Linked DNA regions of Macaca mulatta. The protein of the gene in region 1 purifies or fractionates together with the protein of each later gene. This does not show direct contact. Links are inferred from orthologs where the notes say so. Each region holds a gene or a part of one and is shown on either strand. Other genes may lie near its edges.

Evidence for each region. The genes of interacting proteins can lie anywhere in the genome.
Region 2: the proteins of EIF4G1 (region 1) and PDCD4 purify together in Homo sapiens (affinity purification with western blotting; 3 studies listed by BioGRID and IntAct, with this or other methods). This does not show direct contact. The link is inferred for Macaca mulatta from reciprocal best matches to the Homo sapiens genes EIF4G1 and PDCD4.

The regions. Positions count from the first base shown.
Region 1 is NC_133407.1:96,458,362-96,466,034, reverse strand, and holds part of EIF4G1 (eukaryotic translation initiation factor 4 gamma 1), read right to left. Parts: intron 6,628-7,673; coding exon 6,515-6,627; intron 5,685-6,514; coding exon 5,592-5,684; intron 5,388-5,591; coding exon 5,321-5,387; intron 5,023-5,320; coding exon 4,207-5,022; intron 4,152-4,206; exon of another isoform or gene 4,073-4,151; intron 3,943-4,072; coding exon 3,854-3,942; intron 3,762-3,853; coding exon 3,575-3,761; intron 3,487-3,574; coding exon 3,353-3,486; intron 3,225-3,352; coding exon 3,066-3,224; intron 2,900-3,065; coding exon 2,711-2,899; intron 2,525-2,710; coding exon 2,327-2,524; intron 2,105-2,326; coding exon 1,958-2,104; intron 1,428-1,957; coding exon 1,191-1,427; intron 1,038-1,190; coding exon 933-1,037; intron 827-932; coding exon 667-826; intron 611-666; exon of another isoform or gene 535-610; intron 456-534; coding exon 355-455; intron 1-354.
Region 2 is NC_133414.1:123,059,363-123,067,035, reverse strand, and holds part of PDCD4 (programmed cell death protein 4), read right to left. Parts: intron 2,718-7,673; coding exon 2,415-2,717; intron 932-2,414; coding exon 837-931; intron 1-836. UniProt on the Homo sapiens protein: Inhibits translation initiation and cap-dependent translation. May excert its function by hindering the interaction between EIF4A1 and EIF4G. Inhibits the helicase activity of EIF4A. Modulates the activation of JUN kinase.

The sequences.
Region 1 (7,673 bases):
TGGCTCAAGCCTGTAATCCCAGCACTTTGGGAGGCCGAGACGGGTGGATCACGAGGTCAGGAGATGGAGACCATCCTGGCTAACACGGTGAAACCCCATCTCTACTAAAAAATACAAAAAACTAGCCGGGCGAGGTGGCGGGCGCCTGTAGTCCCAGCTACTCAGGAGGCTGAGGCAGGAGAATGGCGTGAACCCGGGAGGCAGAGCTTGCAGTGAGCCGAGATCCGGCCACTGCACTCCAGCCTGGGCGACAGAGCAAGACTCCGTCTCAAAAAAAAAAAAAAAAAAAAAGAAAAGTGAGGGGACGAAGATCTAAACCTGAGTTGAATCACCCACTCCCACACACACCCCTACCTTGGTGATCTTGGTGAGTCGTGAGGTGTCAATGGGGCGGCTACCTTTGCTGATGGGAACTGTGTTCCAGCCACCATCATCCACAAGTGGAAGTCCACGGCCTGACACAAAAAGAGGGGCATACTGGAATAATGAATAAACCTTAGCAGCCCCTTCCCCTTGGGCCACCCCCAGCCTCCCTTCCTCAGATCCTCAGTTCCATCATGGGGTCTCAGTGGCCCAGACACGTGGCACTAACAGGAAGTCATCAGAGGAAAGTATAACCTCCCAGTCTCTTCACTGCTCCCTTCTCAATCCCAGCCTGGAACTCACTGATGGGCGGGCCTGGAGGGCCACCCCGACGCTTGTCACTGCCCTTGGCCATGAGCTGCTGCACTTTGATGTGCTCTCGATGTTCTTCCATCTCAGCCTCCTTATGGATCTGGTCAATGGTCTTGGGACCCTGATCCCCTCGGCGTGGCACCCAATTGCTCTGTGGAGACAGAAGGCCAGTCACGATGATGTCAGGGAAGGCCAGACAAGACAGTGTCAGAAACTGGAGGCAGCAGGCTGGCAGTGGGGAGGAGGGGGACACACACCCCTCGCAGATCCAGCACGTCCTGCAGCATAAAGCGGATGCGGGATGACGTCTTCTTTTCTTTGATGATTTTTTCCATCTGGTTGAAATACTGATCCATTCGGGGCTATGGAGGAGAAAGGCATCAGACCAGGAACTTCTCATGTCTCACCTATAACTGCAGGCCCCACCCCTCCCCTCAGGCCTTCCGCCCCGTCCCTGTGGCTCAGTGAGCCCCGCATGCTTCAGCCCATCCCCCTCCAGATGCAAGAACCTCTACCTTGGCTTTTTCAAAGTCCAGGTCTTTGCCAATGGTGGTAAGCAGACGACAAAGGCACTCAAGGGACTCTTCATCATGGTTCTTAAGCAGTTTGACCACACAGTCATGCATTATTGCCTCTGTTAACATCTTCAGCTTGAACAACTCCCCAATAAACTTGATATTCCCTAAAGAGCGCCGCCGGGCTATGTCCCGAGCCTCTTCCAGCTCTTCCTTAAGGCGTCCTCGTTCCTCTGCCTGCCATTCACATGACAGGGATTGTGTCAAAAAGATAGCCAGCCACTCTGCTAAAACCCTTTTCTACCTGGATATCCAAACTTAGCAATAAGCACTCAGTCCTGAGGCAGGCTGGCTGGGCATAGTGGCTCATGCCTGTAATCCCACCACTTTGGGAGACCGAGGCAGACAGATCACTTGAGGTCAGGAGTTTGAGACCAGCTTGGCCAACATGGTAAAACCCCGTCTCTACTAAAAATGCAAAAAAATTAGCCAGGTATGGTGGCACATGCCTGTAATCCCAGCTACTTGGGAGGCTGAGGCAGGAGAATCGCTTGAACTCGGGAGGTGGAGGCTAGCCAAGATCACGCCACTGCACTCCAGCCTCGGTGACAGAGCGAGACTCTGTCTCAAAAAGGAAAAAAAAAAGTTCTGAGCCAGAGAAATCCCCAAGACACCACTATTTCCATTCCAAATTCTACAGTTGAGTAGAATCTGGGTGAGGGAAGGAGCTAAGTGGGGAGTGGAATCGGTAGTGGGTTTTCTCTCACCGTAGCAGCTTCATCCATCTCTTTTTGCTTCTTCTCAAAAACCTCATCATCATCTTTGTCTTTCTCAAACTCCTTCTGACATCGATTCAACAACAGCTTTCGGAAGTTTACAGTCACTGTTGGCTTTTCCGTAGTGGGCACTTTCAGCTGCAGGTCGGAGAGAATGTCACACTCAGACTAGTACTGGGCAGGGAAGGCCCTCCAAGAGCCTTTAACTACCTGACCCAGGAAGATATCTGGCCCCAGCTGTGCCTCCTTCCAGCTGGAAGAGGTGCAAGTTGGAGGAGAACCAAGAAGCTGGACTCAAGGAGTCTTGGGAATAGAAATGGGCAACTAGACCATAAGATTTAGAACCCAGTGGAAACTAACCGCCATGAGGCAGCGGCACATGTTGGCATAGGCCACAGAGAAGTTGGGCTCTGAAATGGCCTTCTCAAAAATGAGGTCAATGACCCCTTTGAGGCGTTCCTCGGTGTCAATGGCCAGCTGCGTCACTTGCTTCATCAGCTGCTGGAACATCTGGGGTGTCAGCTTATTCAGGATGGAGCGCACCCTGCGGAATAGGTCCTGGAGGAAGAGGAGACAAGAGTTCCAGTGAGGGTCTCAGAACAGGCTGTTCAGAGGGACAGGAGAGAGTGGTGGGGACTTAGGCATGACAGATGCTACTGATAAGGACAAAAAGCAGCAAAGAGGGCACTGACAGCAGACATGGAAAAGAAATGGAGAGAGACCAAAAGCAGGACTCGCCAGTACCTGGGTTTTGCTGCCATCAGCATCCTCTTCCCCTCGGTCCTTATCAGCTGCCGTCCGCTTGCTGCTGGGTTTCCAGGCTTTCTCTGCTTTGTTCAGTTTTATATCTTCGGTCATTAACACTGTGGCAATGATCTTGCGTGGTTCTTTTCGGGTGCCCTGCTGAGAGCGCCGGGGTCCCAGGCCAGCCTGCTAAGCAAGAGATGAAGACAAGAGGGGACGTGGAACTAGTCAGCACAATATGTGATACCACTACTACACGCCTCCAGGGCAAAACCCTCCCCGTCAGCACTGAGACACAGGGGAATCATCCACTCCCACTCCTTACCCACCTGCCCCTTTACCCAGCCCCACTCACCGGCCCTCGGGGCAGCTCCCCACCTGGCCCACCCCTTGGGGGCCCACGGGTGCTAAGGGCTGGCCGGCCAAGGTTGGCAAAGGATGGAGTGAAGTCTGGGCCATAATTTATGCCTTGTAGTCTAGTGGGGTCCAGTGGTCGCAGTGGTGTTTTATTGGCCTGCAAAGAGGACAGGAAAAGGTCTTAGAAGCAGGCTAGAGCAGTTGACTACTCTTTCAGGACCTCAGGCTCCTCCCCAATCCATCCAGCACAAACTTATCGTCCCCTCCCTGACTCAAGCCACTAACCTTGTCCAGCACCACATCACTGATATGGGGCAATCCCTCTGGCTTCTGCATACTGGCAAAGATGAACTGAAAACCAAGCAGGAACTCACGGTCGTAACGTTTTTTCTCCTCTAGATTTAGAGGCTTCCACTGATCTGCGAGGAAGAGAATGAAGCAATCATACTGTCTTCTCTGGCCCTAATAAGAAAACTCAAGTCATTCTCAACCCTTTCTTCAGCATACCTGACTTATATTCATACTTCTGTTCCCCGGGCTGGATGTTCTCAGCATTGTGAATTTTGTCTTCCTTTGAGTCCCAGGTCTCATCTGCTTCCTCAGGACGTGGGGGCACACCACTGCCCTCAGACTCTGGGCCTGGATTGCTGCCTGCAGGAGGCTGATTTTCCACCTCTGGTACTGCCGGGTTTGCCTAGAACAACAGAACACCAGTTTTGGTTGCACAATGACCACTGTTCCATACCTCAACTTGGCCCTCTCCCCTTCCGTTTTCTGCTCCCTTACCTCCTTGAAGGCATCCAGAAGGTCTCCAACAGCCTCCTTCTTATTTAGCTCCTTAATTTTCCGTCTCCTCTTTGGCACAGATACTGCCACTAATTTTAAAAAATAAATAAAAGCATGGGTCTTTGCCAATAATTTAAGGAGTACCCTTAATCCCTGGGAAATAAAAAGCAGCCAAAGTACATATTTCCCCTTTGCATCACAGTCTTCAGGCTTAAAAGTCCTTAATCTAGTTCTTAGATTCCATTGCAGGGCCTCTATGACCCAGAAACATGGCAAAAACGGGAGGTCATCAAGGAGGGCAAGGAACCACATCCCCTAGCCCACCCTACCTCTACTGCCCAACCAATCCTTACCTTGAGTGGCCGCTGCTGCCTCCAAATTCTGAGACAAGTTGGCTGGAACAGGGGTGCTCTCTGAGGGGAGCAGTTCCTCTCCTCCCTTCTCACTCTCAGCTTCTCCTGCTTCTCCTTCTTCCTCTTCTTCTTCTTCTTCTTCCATTTCCTCCTCCTGAGCGGGGGAAGTAGCTGAAGGAGCCATAGCTGGAGTGGCAGAGAGGATGGTGGCGGGCGCCACTGATGCTGTCACCTCCTTGGCCTGCTCCTCTGGCTCACTGACTGGGCTTAAGTCCACAGCTGGTGGCGAGGGGGCTCCGTTGAGCAGTTCCTCAGGTTGGGCAGTTGGAGCAATGGGCACAGGGGATTCGGAGGGGCAAGCTGGTGGAAGAGCAAGCTCTGGGCTGGACTCCACCTCTGGTTCCAGATCTTCAGATGGGACCATGCCATTAGGCTCATGAATTTCCACTGTGTGAGATGCCAGAGGAGTGGAAGCCTGGAGAGGACTGGAAGAGAATTCAGATTCTGGAACCGGTTTGCTAAGTGTCACTTCTACTTCCAGTATGGGTTCGGCGAGAGGAGTGGGTTCTGGAGAGAGGCGATATGGCTCCCCAGTTTCACGGGAGATGGGGGTTGATTCTTCTACAGACATTTGTATAGTTGCCATAGTGTCCCCAGGAATAGAGAGGACTGCGAGATTAGGCTCAGACCCCGGTTCCAAGACTGGGGATGGTGATGGGGTCGGAGAAGGTGACGAAGGCTGGGATTCTGAAGGGCTGTGCTCTGGGCCAGGCAGCCCTGGCCGGTCAGCAATGATTGCTCCCTGTGACCGGTCATCTGCACCATAGGAAGGAAGAATGAGCAACTAAAGGCAAGTGCTTCACTGCTGTTGTTCCTCCCCATCCTCCAGCCAAGGTATTTCCAACTTAACACTCCCACGTCATCATCTCCCACCTAAGCTATACTTCCACTTTCATCCAAAACCCAATTCACCCTCAAAATCCCACGACCTGAAATCTAAGTCATCCTTCTCTGGTACCCAGTTCAAGTCACTCCACCACCTCAGCATTGAGGTGACAGCAAACTGTCAACATTCCCTTTCCCCGTAAAAGTTCCATCCCACCCGCTTACTTACCTGGCCGGACAATGACAGCAACCTGGGGCGTCTCCCCATTAGCTTGAGGCTCCAGACCGCCTCCCGTCTGCAGGACACAAAGGGTTACCAAGTTTGCACTGAAGAGTCCCACAACCCTTCTTTACTAGAGCCATTTCTACTTTAGCTCTGCCTAGAAATCCAGGAAAGCAGGGAAATAAATCCCTTAGTTGAAAGAAAAGATCCAGAGACTTGGGAGTCCAGGGCAGAACAGACATCCCAGTCAGGGTATCGCTCAAAAAACAGACAGTACCTGGGGAGGGGTGGGTGTGGAGGCAGTGCGGGCCCCAGACATGATCTCCTCCGTGATATCCTTTCCTCCTTGGTTTGGATCTCGAATTCGGATCTGGGGAAAGAAAGTTATGGGATGAGTGGGAAGCAGGAAGAGCCCACCTCTCCACCCTGCCCCACTCTTAAGACTCTGGGCCAACTCCCCACCCCACACTGGGAAGCAGGTAGGTAGGTGCCAGAAACCCCTTGAGTTCCACTTTCAGCCCATCTGGCTGCTCTTGTAGTCCCTGCCCTAGCTCCCACCCTTAAGAGACCCTTGACCTCACAAAGCAGCCCTGTACATCACAATGCCCCTCCCTCCCTCATCCCTACCCCACCAGCAGTCCCCAAGCCAGTGGCTGCACACCCTGGGGCCCAAGACCCCCATCTAGCACCCAATCGGCTCACTTGTGGCTAGTGTGCCTGATCTCTGGGGGCAGGGCCCAGATCCAGTAGGTGGAGCCAGGGTGACTCAGCGGCTTCCCCAGCTCTGGCACCCTATTCTGGGCACCACGCCCAGGGCTTGAGGACTGAGCAGAGGCGGAGGCCTTGAGAGCTTCCAGGACTTGTGGGGGGGGCCGGGTGGGGATGGGGGCTGGGGCCACAGAAAACAAACCATTTCCAAGGCAAGCCACCAGAAGCCCAAAAGCAAGCACAGTTCTTCCAACCTCCCAGCACCCAGGTCTCACAGGAACTTCCTCGCTAGCCACTTCAGTCTTCCCATGACCTGCTTCTATGCTAAAATCTTAGTATCTTACAAAGAACCTGAGCCTTCCACAGACCCCATTCTCTGCCCACTCTCAGCTCCTTCCTCAAGTCACTGTTCTTTCCGGCACAATGTCCCAGCAGCATCTGACCTTGATTCTCCCCTTCCCAGATGTCCCGGAGCCCCTCGCTGCTACTCACCGTCTTACGTTCCCTCTTGGGAGCAATCTGGGGTGGCTGGTTCATCAAAACTGGGGCGGGGGCCACACCAGTGGGAAACTGCTGCACCCCTTGGGCTGGATAGTAGGCGCCAGCTTGGGGGAGGGGGACGGAGAAGAATGGTGGTAGCGTCAGGGCCCAACCATATCCTAATGCCTGCTTGACACCTCCCACCCCAAAACCTCTCAACACCCACAGCCGGCCCCTTGCCCTGCCCTGCCCTCCTCCCCCAGGGAATCAGGTGTCTGTCAAAGCTGGGGAACCAGTCTGAACTGCGTTTACAAGAATTCCTAACACTGACACACACACATACACACATCTCATAGGCAGGCACTCCTTACCCACCACACACCAGCAACCAAGAGGACTTATGTCTGTCCTTCTACTGTACAAGGTACTCTCATGTAGGTACCCCACCCGCTATCAACGTGTACACACATACTCTGAACCTGAAACAGAACCAGGTCTTTGGCTGGGAATGAAAGAGATTTGACAACCCTGTTCCATTTAACTTGAGTCCAGTTCCTGTCTCCAGCCCTTTACAAAGGGGCAAAGAAACAAAGTAACATTATGAGCTAGGCTCAATATGAAGAAAAATTAATTCCTTAAAGCAAACTATCTCCAAAGTGGGGTGCGTTCTTTTTTTCCCCTTAAATATATATGCATTTTTTTGAGATGGAGTCTCACTCTGTTGCCTAGGCTGGAATACAGTGGCACAGTCCTGGTTCACTGCAACCTCCACGTCCCAGGTTCAAGTGATCCTCCTGCCTCAGCCTCCCGAATAGTGGGGATTACAAGACTGCACCACCACGCCCGACTAATTTTTGTATTTTTAGTTGAGACGGGGCCAGGCGTGGTGGCTCACGCCTATAATCTCAGCACTTTGGGAGGCCAAGGCAGGTGGATCACTTGAGGCCAGGAGTTCGAGAACAGCCTGGTCAACATGATGAAACACCGTCTCTACTAAAAATACAAAAATTAGCTGGGTGTGGTGGCACACGCCTGTAATCCCAGCTGCTCGGGAGGCTGAGGCAGGAGAATCACTTGAACCTGGGAGGTGGAGGCTGCAGAAAGCCAAGATTGTGCCACTACACTCCAGCCTGGGTGACAGAGTGAGACTGTCTCAAAAAGAAAATAAAAA
Region 2 (7,673 bases), on another chromosome or scaffold:
ATTTTTAGCAAAGATTCTACAGTACTTGAATCCTACTAGTTTCATATTTGTCATATTCTCTTAGAAATATTTCCATGTCCAACTATTACTTAAAACAGTTAAATACATACATACAACACACAATAAAAACAATGTAACATATACTCTTTAACATTTTCCTGTCTAAAATTTCCATCACCGTGTCTTACCTTATGCAAAGACACGATTTTCAAAAAACATAATCAAAATGTTTGGGATTTGCTTCAAAATAATCCAAAACAGGGTAGGGCAAACAGGCCAAGAGAAGACAGAGAGTAAATGGAATGAAACAAGACTGCCTATGAGTTTGTAATTATTTAAGTTTGTAAAGCTAAGAGAAGAGTACAAGCAGATTATACTATTCTACTTTAAAATTTCCATTAAAAAAATATTAAAAATTCACTACACAATCTTATTAAAAATTTACATTTTCAGCATTATCCCTAAAAGATGCACGTCCCCAAAACAAAATTAGTTACCATTCTAAACGGTAATATTTAAAAGCAACCTAGTATCTCTAACTCATAATATTCAAAAGAAGATATTCTCAATTATAATTACTATAGAAACAAACTATATTAACAGAATTTACTGAAAAATGGTCAACTTAATAATCCTAAGTGAATTTGTAAAGAGCTATTTTTGACTCACTACGGAAACCAAGTGAAAGTTATGCATATATTACTGTCAGTTTACTTGGTTTCCTAATCCAAAACATATATATATATGATTTGACACATGTATGAGTAAACTACAAACATGAAGTCAAAAAAGTTCATAAACATTTTAAATATTATGAAAAAGCAAAGCACTGATACCTGGTCATCATCATAGTTAGGATCTTTCACATCTACCTCCTCCACATCATACACCTGTCCAGGTGTACCCCAGACACCTTTGCCTCCTGCACCACCTGAAAAAGTTTAGAATTGAGAAAGAAAAAACATAAAATTCATCAATTTGTTGAAATCTAAAATAATCCTAAATGTTCCGATGTTAAATAACAGCTAAAAAAATTTGTATTTAATGTCTATGTTACTTTTTTTTCCAGTTTTCTTTCCCTATTGGTTTCCTTTTTGTTCAGACCACTCTTTCAATATTTCTGAAAACATTAAGTTCAAATAGCTTATGAAGTTAAAAACTAAAAAAGCAGATACTTTAAAATAAAAGCAAAAACAAATAAAGATAAAAAATAGCTATACTGAGGACCTCAAAGGGTATGATATTGCAGCTGAGCTCTAAATTTTATTCGACATTTCTTTGGGACCAAGACAAAAAGAAACATGCTGGGCCAGTAAAGCGTAGCATAGAAAACTCAACAAGGGAAAAATTATTTGACAAAAAAGGACAGTAACCACCATCAAATATTTTAAAGTCAAATACAGTACTCTTTAAATATAAAAGTACACATTAAACCACACTATTAAGCAATATATTACAAATATAGAAAACAATACTAATTGCTTTTAAGCATTAACAGCCCTGAAAATTCTATTTTCTAAATACAAAACAACCAATAGAAGCTTAACAATTCCAATTTTCGAAGTTGCTTTTCTACATCAACTTACTGAAATGTTTTAAGGACCAATGCACTACATTATTTTTTAAAGAATCTTTACAATGTCACCAACATTTCTGTTTTTGGAGGGTTTTATTTTGTACCAACTATATCCTTGCCATCAGACCAAAACAGAATCTGATAACCAGGTTTCATTTTGATATAAACCATGATTGCAGAGCCATTCAACAAAAATAATTTTTGACACCACAAAAACATTTTACAAGAAACCTACACTATAAATTGAAGTTCCCACCATTCAAAAGATGATGAAATCATCAGAAAACTCTTAATCAACAAATATTTGTCTATGATGTGCTAGTCACTATTTCAGGTACTAGAGATACAGCAGTGAAACAGACCAATGCACTACAGAACCCAAAATAAAGAGCTAATGAGAACTCACAACCAGATCTCGGAAAACATTAAAATTCAGATCCAGATGTTATCAATCAAATTTATGTTTACTAGTAGTAGTAATGAACATAATTATATTAATTAAATAAGTATGATGGATTTCTGACTCCTTTCAAACTTAAAGAACATATGCAAAACTCGTAACAGTGAAAAACATCAGTGCATATTTTGCTGGAAATAAACCGTTAACATTTTGCTAAAGAAAATTAAATCTACTCAAACAAGAAAAAAGATCAACCTAAAGAAAAAGTGAGATGGTCCTCACCTTATTACTAAGTAAAAATATATACAAACTGTAAAGCCTTATATTATCACTGTTTTAATTTCTCTCATTCCTAGAACAAGGAAATTGTAGTACAAGAACCAGACAATTTTTTTCCACTTGTTTATCTTCCATTTGTTGGACATGATATATACCAACCTTTCTTTGGTAGTCCCCTTCCTTTCCCAGATCTGGATCGCCTATCCAGCAACCTTCCCTTTGGACTGGTTGGCACAGTTACTCCACTTCTAAGGGCATCACTCCCATTGTCGCTGACCGAATCGCCTCTGCCAGAGTCCCGGGATGAGTTTTTCCTTAGTCGTCTTTTTGCCTTGGCATTAATTCTAGCTTCATTAATGGAGGATGCTGAAATCCAATTTCCATTTATTTCATTCTTTATTTCCTCAGTCCCAGGGTTTTCTTCATCACCAGAAAAGAGACAGTCACTTAAATTATCAGGATCTTAAAGAGAAAAATGAAGAAAGAAAATTCTTTTTTTTTTTTTTTTTTTTTGAGACGGAGTCTCGCTCTGTCGCCCAGGCTGGAGTGCAGTGGCCGGATCTCAGCTCACTGCAAGCTCCGCCTCCCGGGTTCACGCCATTCTCCTGCCTCAGCCTCCCAAGTGGCTGGGACTACAGGCGCCCGCCACCACGCCCGGCTAATTTTTTTTTTTTGTATTTTAGTAGAGACGGGGTGAAAGAAAATTCTAAGTATTTTAAGTATCTACTGTTTTACAGACATAGTGGTAAGTTAGATTAGGTTGAATCACATGACACGACCATTTTTGTGGGTAAATTACAGTCGCATATTGGGAATTTCATCTACTTCAATCTAATAAACAACAACTAAATAAGATTATTTTTCACATTATCAAGGAAAGTAAACCAAGGCACTGAATTTTAACAGTTTACCAAAAGAAGCATGTTATTTCACGTGTTTAGATCATAAAATCTATGCTAACAGCAACACCAAATATAAAACCCTTAGACTTTTATGAGCTAAGAGTTAAGCAATTGGAGATATTAAGAAAAGACAAAGCATCTTGAGAAGAGACACAAACTAATATTTATAGAATGCCTACTATTATTTATCAGGCACTGTACTAGACACTCTATCATTTATTTATGCACAAGTTTGGCAGTTAGTTATTATAACATTGAGGACAGATAAGGAAACTAAGGCTGAGAATGTTTAAATGATTTGCCAAACATCCCGTAACTAGGTATAAATACTTAAGATCTATTAGTAATCCAAAAAAGAACGAAAGGAATTTAGCAAATAATCCATATGATTGTTAAGCTGAACTGCTGGTGCTTTACTGCCTCAAGATAAAGTTTGCTTTCAAGAAAAGCCATCATCTCAAAGTCCTAATTCATCTCCCTAAACTGTTCTCATATTACTTACCATCCTGAAAATCTTCCAGCCTATATAAAATTGATTCTTCTAAAAGAGATCAACATACTGGAGTTTCCAGTGGTTCCCCTACTTAGAATGTCACCCTCATTGTTATTTTCAGTTATCAAAATCCTTTAGGATATAGCCCAAGTCTTACTCCCTCCATTAAAACTTCCCTTACAACTCTAGCTACAGTAACACTAATTGCTCACATACTATTCATTCAACACGTCATGGAAAGCACTTTCTTTTTATATAACAGTCTTTTTCTTCCAACTAAGTCATACGCTTCAAATGAGAAACCACAACTAGACTGTATGTCCTTCTCTGTATCCCCATCACCTAGCAGAGTGTCCTTCATACTCAAATTCGATGGAGATCAAGTGGAGGCACTTGGCTTTGCCCTGAAAGCTCTTTAAGTCAGAAAGGCTACTGAATTAGCTACCACTGGGCCAGAGTTTTGTTCATTATTGTTAACTCAAATCAGAGCTGAATCACTCAAATCATTTTCTATATGCCTAAAGATAATTATAACATGTCAGGTCTATGTGCATGGACTTTAACGTTTTAAGATATATTCAAACCAAAAATTTTCATCAACCTATAAAAAGCCTACATGTGTTTAAATCTTTACAATTCTTGACATACTTAGGAAGGTGGGAATGTTTTATTGTAAACAAAATCATCTATTAGAGCCAAATTTTTTCACTAGTCTCCTAAGTAGTCTCCCTGCCTGCAGTCTTCAAACTATACTGAATGAAGGCTGATTTTCTCATGCATGCCCTCACTGAAGATCCTTTAAAAGTAATCCCATTATGTCACAAAACATGTAAACTCTTTTTTTTTTTTTTTGAGACGGAGTCTCGCTCTGTCGCCCAGGCTGGAGTGCAGTGGCACAATCTCAGCTCACTGCAAGCTCCGCCTCCCAGGTTCACGCCATTCTCCTGCCTCTCCCTCCCAAGTAGCTGGGACTACAGGCTCCCGCCACCACGCCCGGCAAATTTTTTTGTGTTGTTAGCAGAGACAGGGTTTCACTGTGTTAGCCAGGATGGTCTTGATCTCCTGACCTCGTGATCCGCCCGCCTCGGTCTCCCCAAGTGCTGGGATTACAGGCGTGAGCCACCGCAGCTGGGCAAAATGTAAACTCTTTACCTTGTAACTTGATCTTGCCCTTGCTTACCTCACCAGAATCACTGCTAACTACTCCCACACTAAAATTGTCAGAGCTTAAGTTAGATATCATAGGAAGGAGATGGGAGGGATTCATTTGGCAGAAGAATATTGAGTATATTACAAAAAGAGTATGTATAAAGTGGGAAACCACTAAGAAAATGTTTCAGTAATTCAGTCACAAGCTAACTGGTAAAGAGCAAGGGTAGTAACTGTGGGAAAATAATAATGTTATACTTTTAAAGAAAATAATAAAGGCTTTTAAGCAGAATGTATCTACGATTAAAGAGAAGTGGAACAATGCCTTAAAAGTTTTCGAACTGGTGAGAAGCCGGTGTTAGGATGGTGTGTTTGGGACATCATCACAACCATCAGCAGTAATTACAGTCTTAGTGGAAGCAGCCGTAGTACTGTTTCTTTCATCATTACCACTACTATTGTCAACTATTAGATTCCAGGTTCCACACTACATGGTACCTATTAGATACCAGGTTCTATGCTAGGCACTTTACATATGTGGTCTGTAAGCCTCAAAAGCTGTAGAAAGAAACTGTTTATCCTCATTTTACAGAAGGAATGTGTTTCACAAGAAGTTACATATCTAGAAAGGATTATGGCTAGGATTCAAACCCATATTTTTAATCCCATATGACTATAACTACAGAAAATACAAAACTGGAATATCGCAGAGTATTGACAGCTAAAGAAAAATGGACAAGGGAGTGAAAGTAAAGAGAGATAAACAAAAATGATTAAGTAGAAGGGGCAGAAAGACCAGGATCAGATAAATTAGATGACATTTTCATGTAAGAGTGGATGGTTGAGAAAAACATTAAATATCTACCTGTAACATAGCGCTTTCATCGTTGCACTATTAAGGTGAACCACAAAACTAGTCCAGAAGACACAGGACTCAGAACTATAATAAAATGTCTTAAACTGTCCCTTGGAGTATTCAATTTAAATGTATCTATTTCCCATAATCAAGTTTTCTTTTCTTCAACCATTTTAATATTCTTTCAAGTATGTTTATGTCTCTGCAGCAGTAAACATTCTCTCTCAGTATAATTTATATATTTGACCTTATAATTTTTAACCTATGTTTATATTAATTGCTTTATATTTTGTTATTCATACTAACCTAAGTGTTGGAGTTCCATAGCCCCTATTGAGCTGACTTTAAGAAAACCAAAATTAAAATGATAACCTGAGTACAGAATGTGATGACTTCAAAACTGTTTTCTATTGTGTACTAATTCCCTCTTTCTGAATTCTGACATCTCAATAGTAACCACTCTAATTGTATATGACCACAGCACCCGAAAATCACATTTTCAATTAGTGGTGTCCAATGAGTGGCATAATTAGAATATTACCACATTTTCATGTATTACATACCTACTATGTGCTTCACAGACTTAACACACATATACAGTATCTCACTAAATCCTAATTATAAATCTATACAGAGGGTGTTTATATCCCAATTTTATACACTAAGAAACTGAAGGTCAGAATAAATAACCTACTTCCTCCAAGTAAAAGAGTAAGAGTGTGACTTGGATTGCTATGGAAAGAACTTACTACAAAGAGGGTCTGTCTTACGCCTATCCAAATATTGAAGAACAAGTTTTTTATTTTAAGGCAGTGCTGGACAGAAGCACCAAGAACAGGGTTAAAACTAGGTCTTATTATAGTTAGGAACAAAAAGTATACATTTTAAAGCTATGTTTCTATTTCTAATAGAAATAGAATGCAAGTCACATAAGAAATTTTAAATTTTCCAGTAACCACATTAAAAAGTAAAACCAGGTGAAATTAATTTAAATAAATTTTATTTAATCTAATATAACCATAATATCATCTCAACATGCAAGCAATGTAAAAAATTATTGAGATAGTTGACCTTCATCTCAACTCAGAGTAGCCACATTTCAAGTACTCAACAAACACATGTGGCGAAGCGCAGTGGTGCACACACCTGTAATCCAGCTACTGAGGAGGCTGAAGAGGGAGGATCACTTGAGCCCAGGAGTAATAATAATCACATGTAGCTAGTGGTTACTATACTGGACAGTGCAGAAAAGTAGCAATTACCTATATGTAAAATATATTCTTAAACTCTATTACCATCCCCATCTCAATTAAGTAGGTATATATTACCCATTTATAACCCTAAAGCATACTCATACAGCTTCTGTACATAGCAGCACAGAAATGATCATTAATTACATAAAAATTTTTTCAATTTTTTACCACACTTTAAAAAGATCTGTAAATAAACAATGGTAAAGAAGCTTCAAATTCAACATGTTTGTTCAGATCAAAGAAAACTATGTATGTTGTAAACAATAGTGAGTTGTCATTGAAGAAATAAAGATGTAGTAATGAAATACACTTAAAATGACAGAAAATACACAGCTTTCAATATTAATAAAATTATAAGGCAAAGAATTATCTAAAGTATACCAATATGAACTGTTCTCACTATTCAGATATTATACAATTCTAATTACCTTTTTGGGGAGATGATTTTGAAAACTATAAATACATTTCAAATCGTCTTGAGCTACTCACATTTGGTCATCTAGTCCACAAAACTTTGTTCATTTTTATGATAATAACATACTATTGAAGCACCATGGAGAATTAGGGAAAATACCCTAGGTAATTCAGAATATAAAAATTATTCGTTAAGAAAGATATCAAAAGATACCAGTAAGTTAATATTATAGAAATCACTAACTAGCCCATGTGAAAATAAGCAGGCTCACTATTCTTCTCTGTTCTGTACTACATAATTCAGGATAGGAATGTGTGGAATGTGAAAGGATACGCAGAAAAATAGGACGT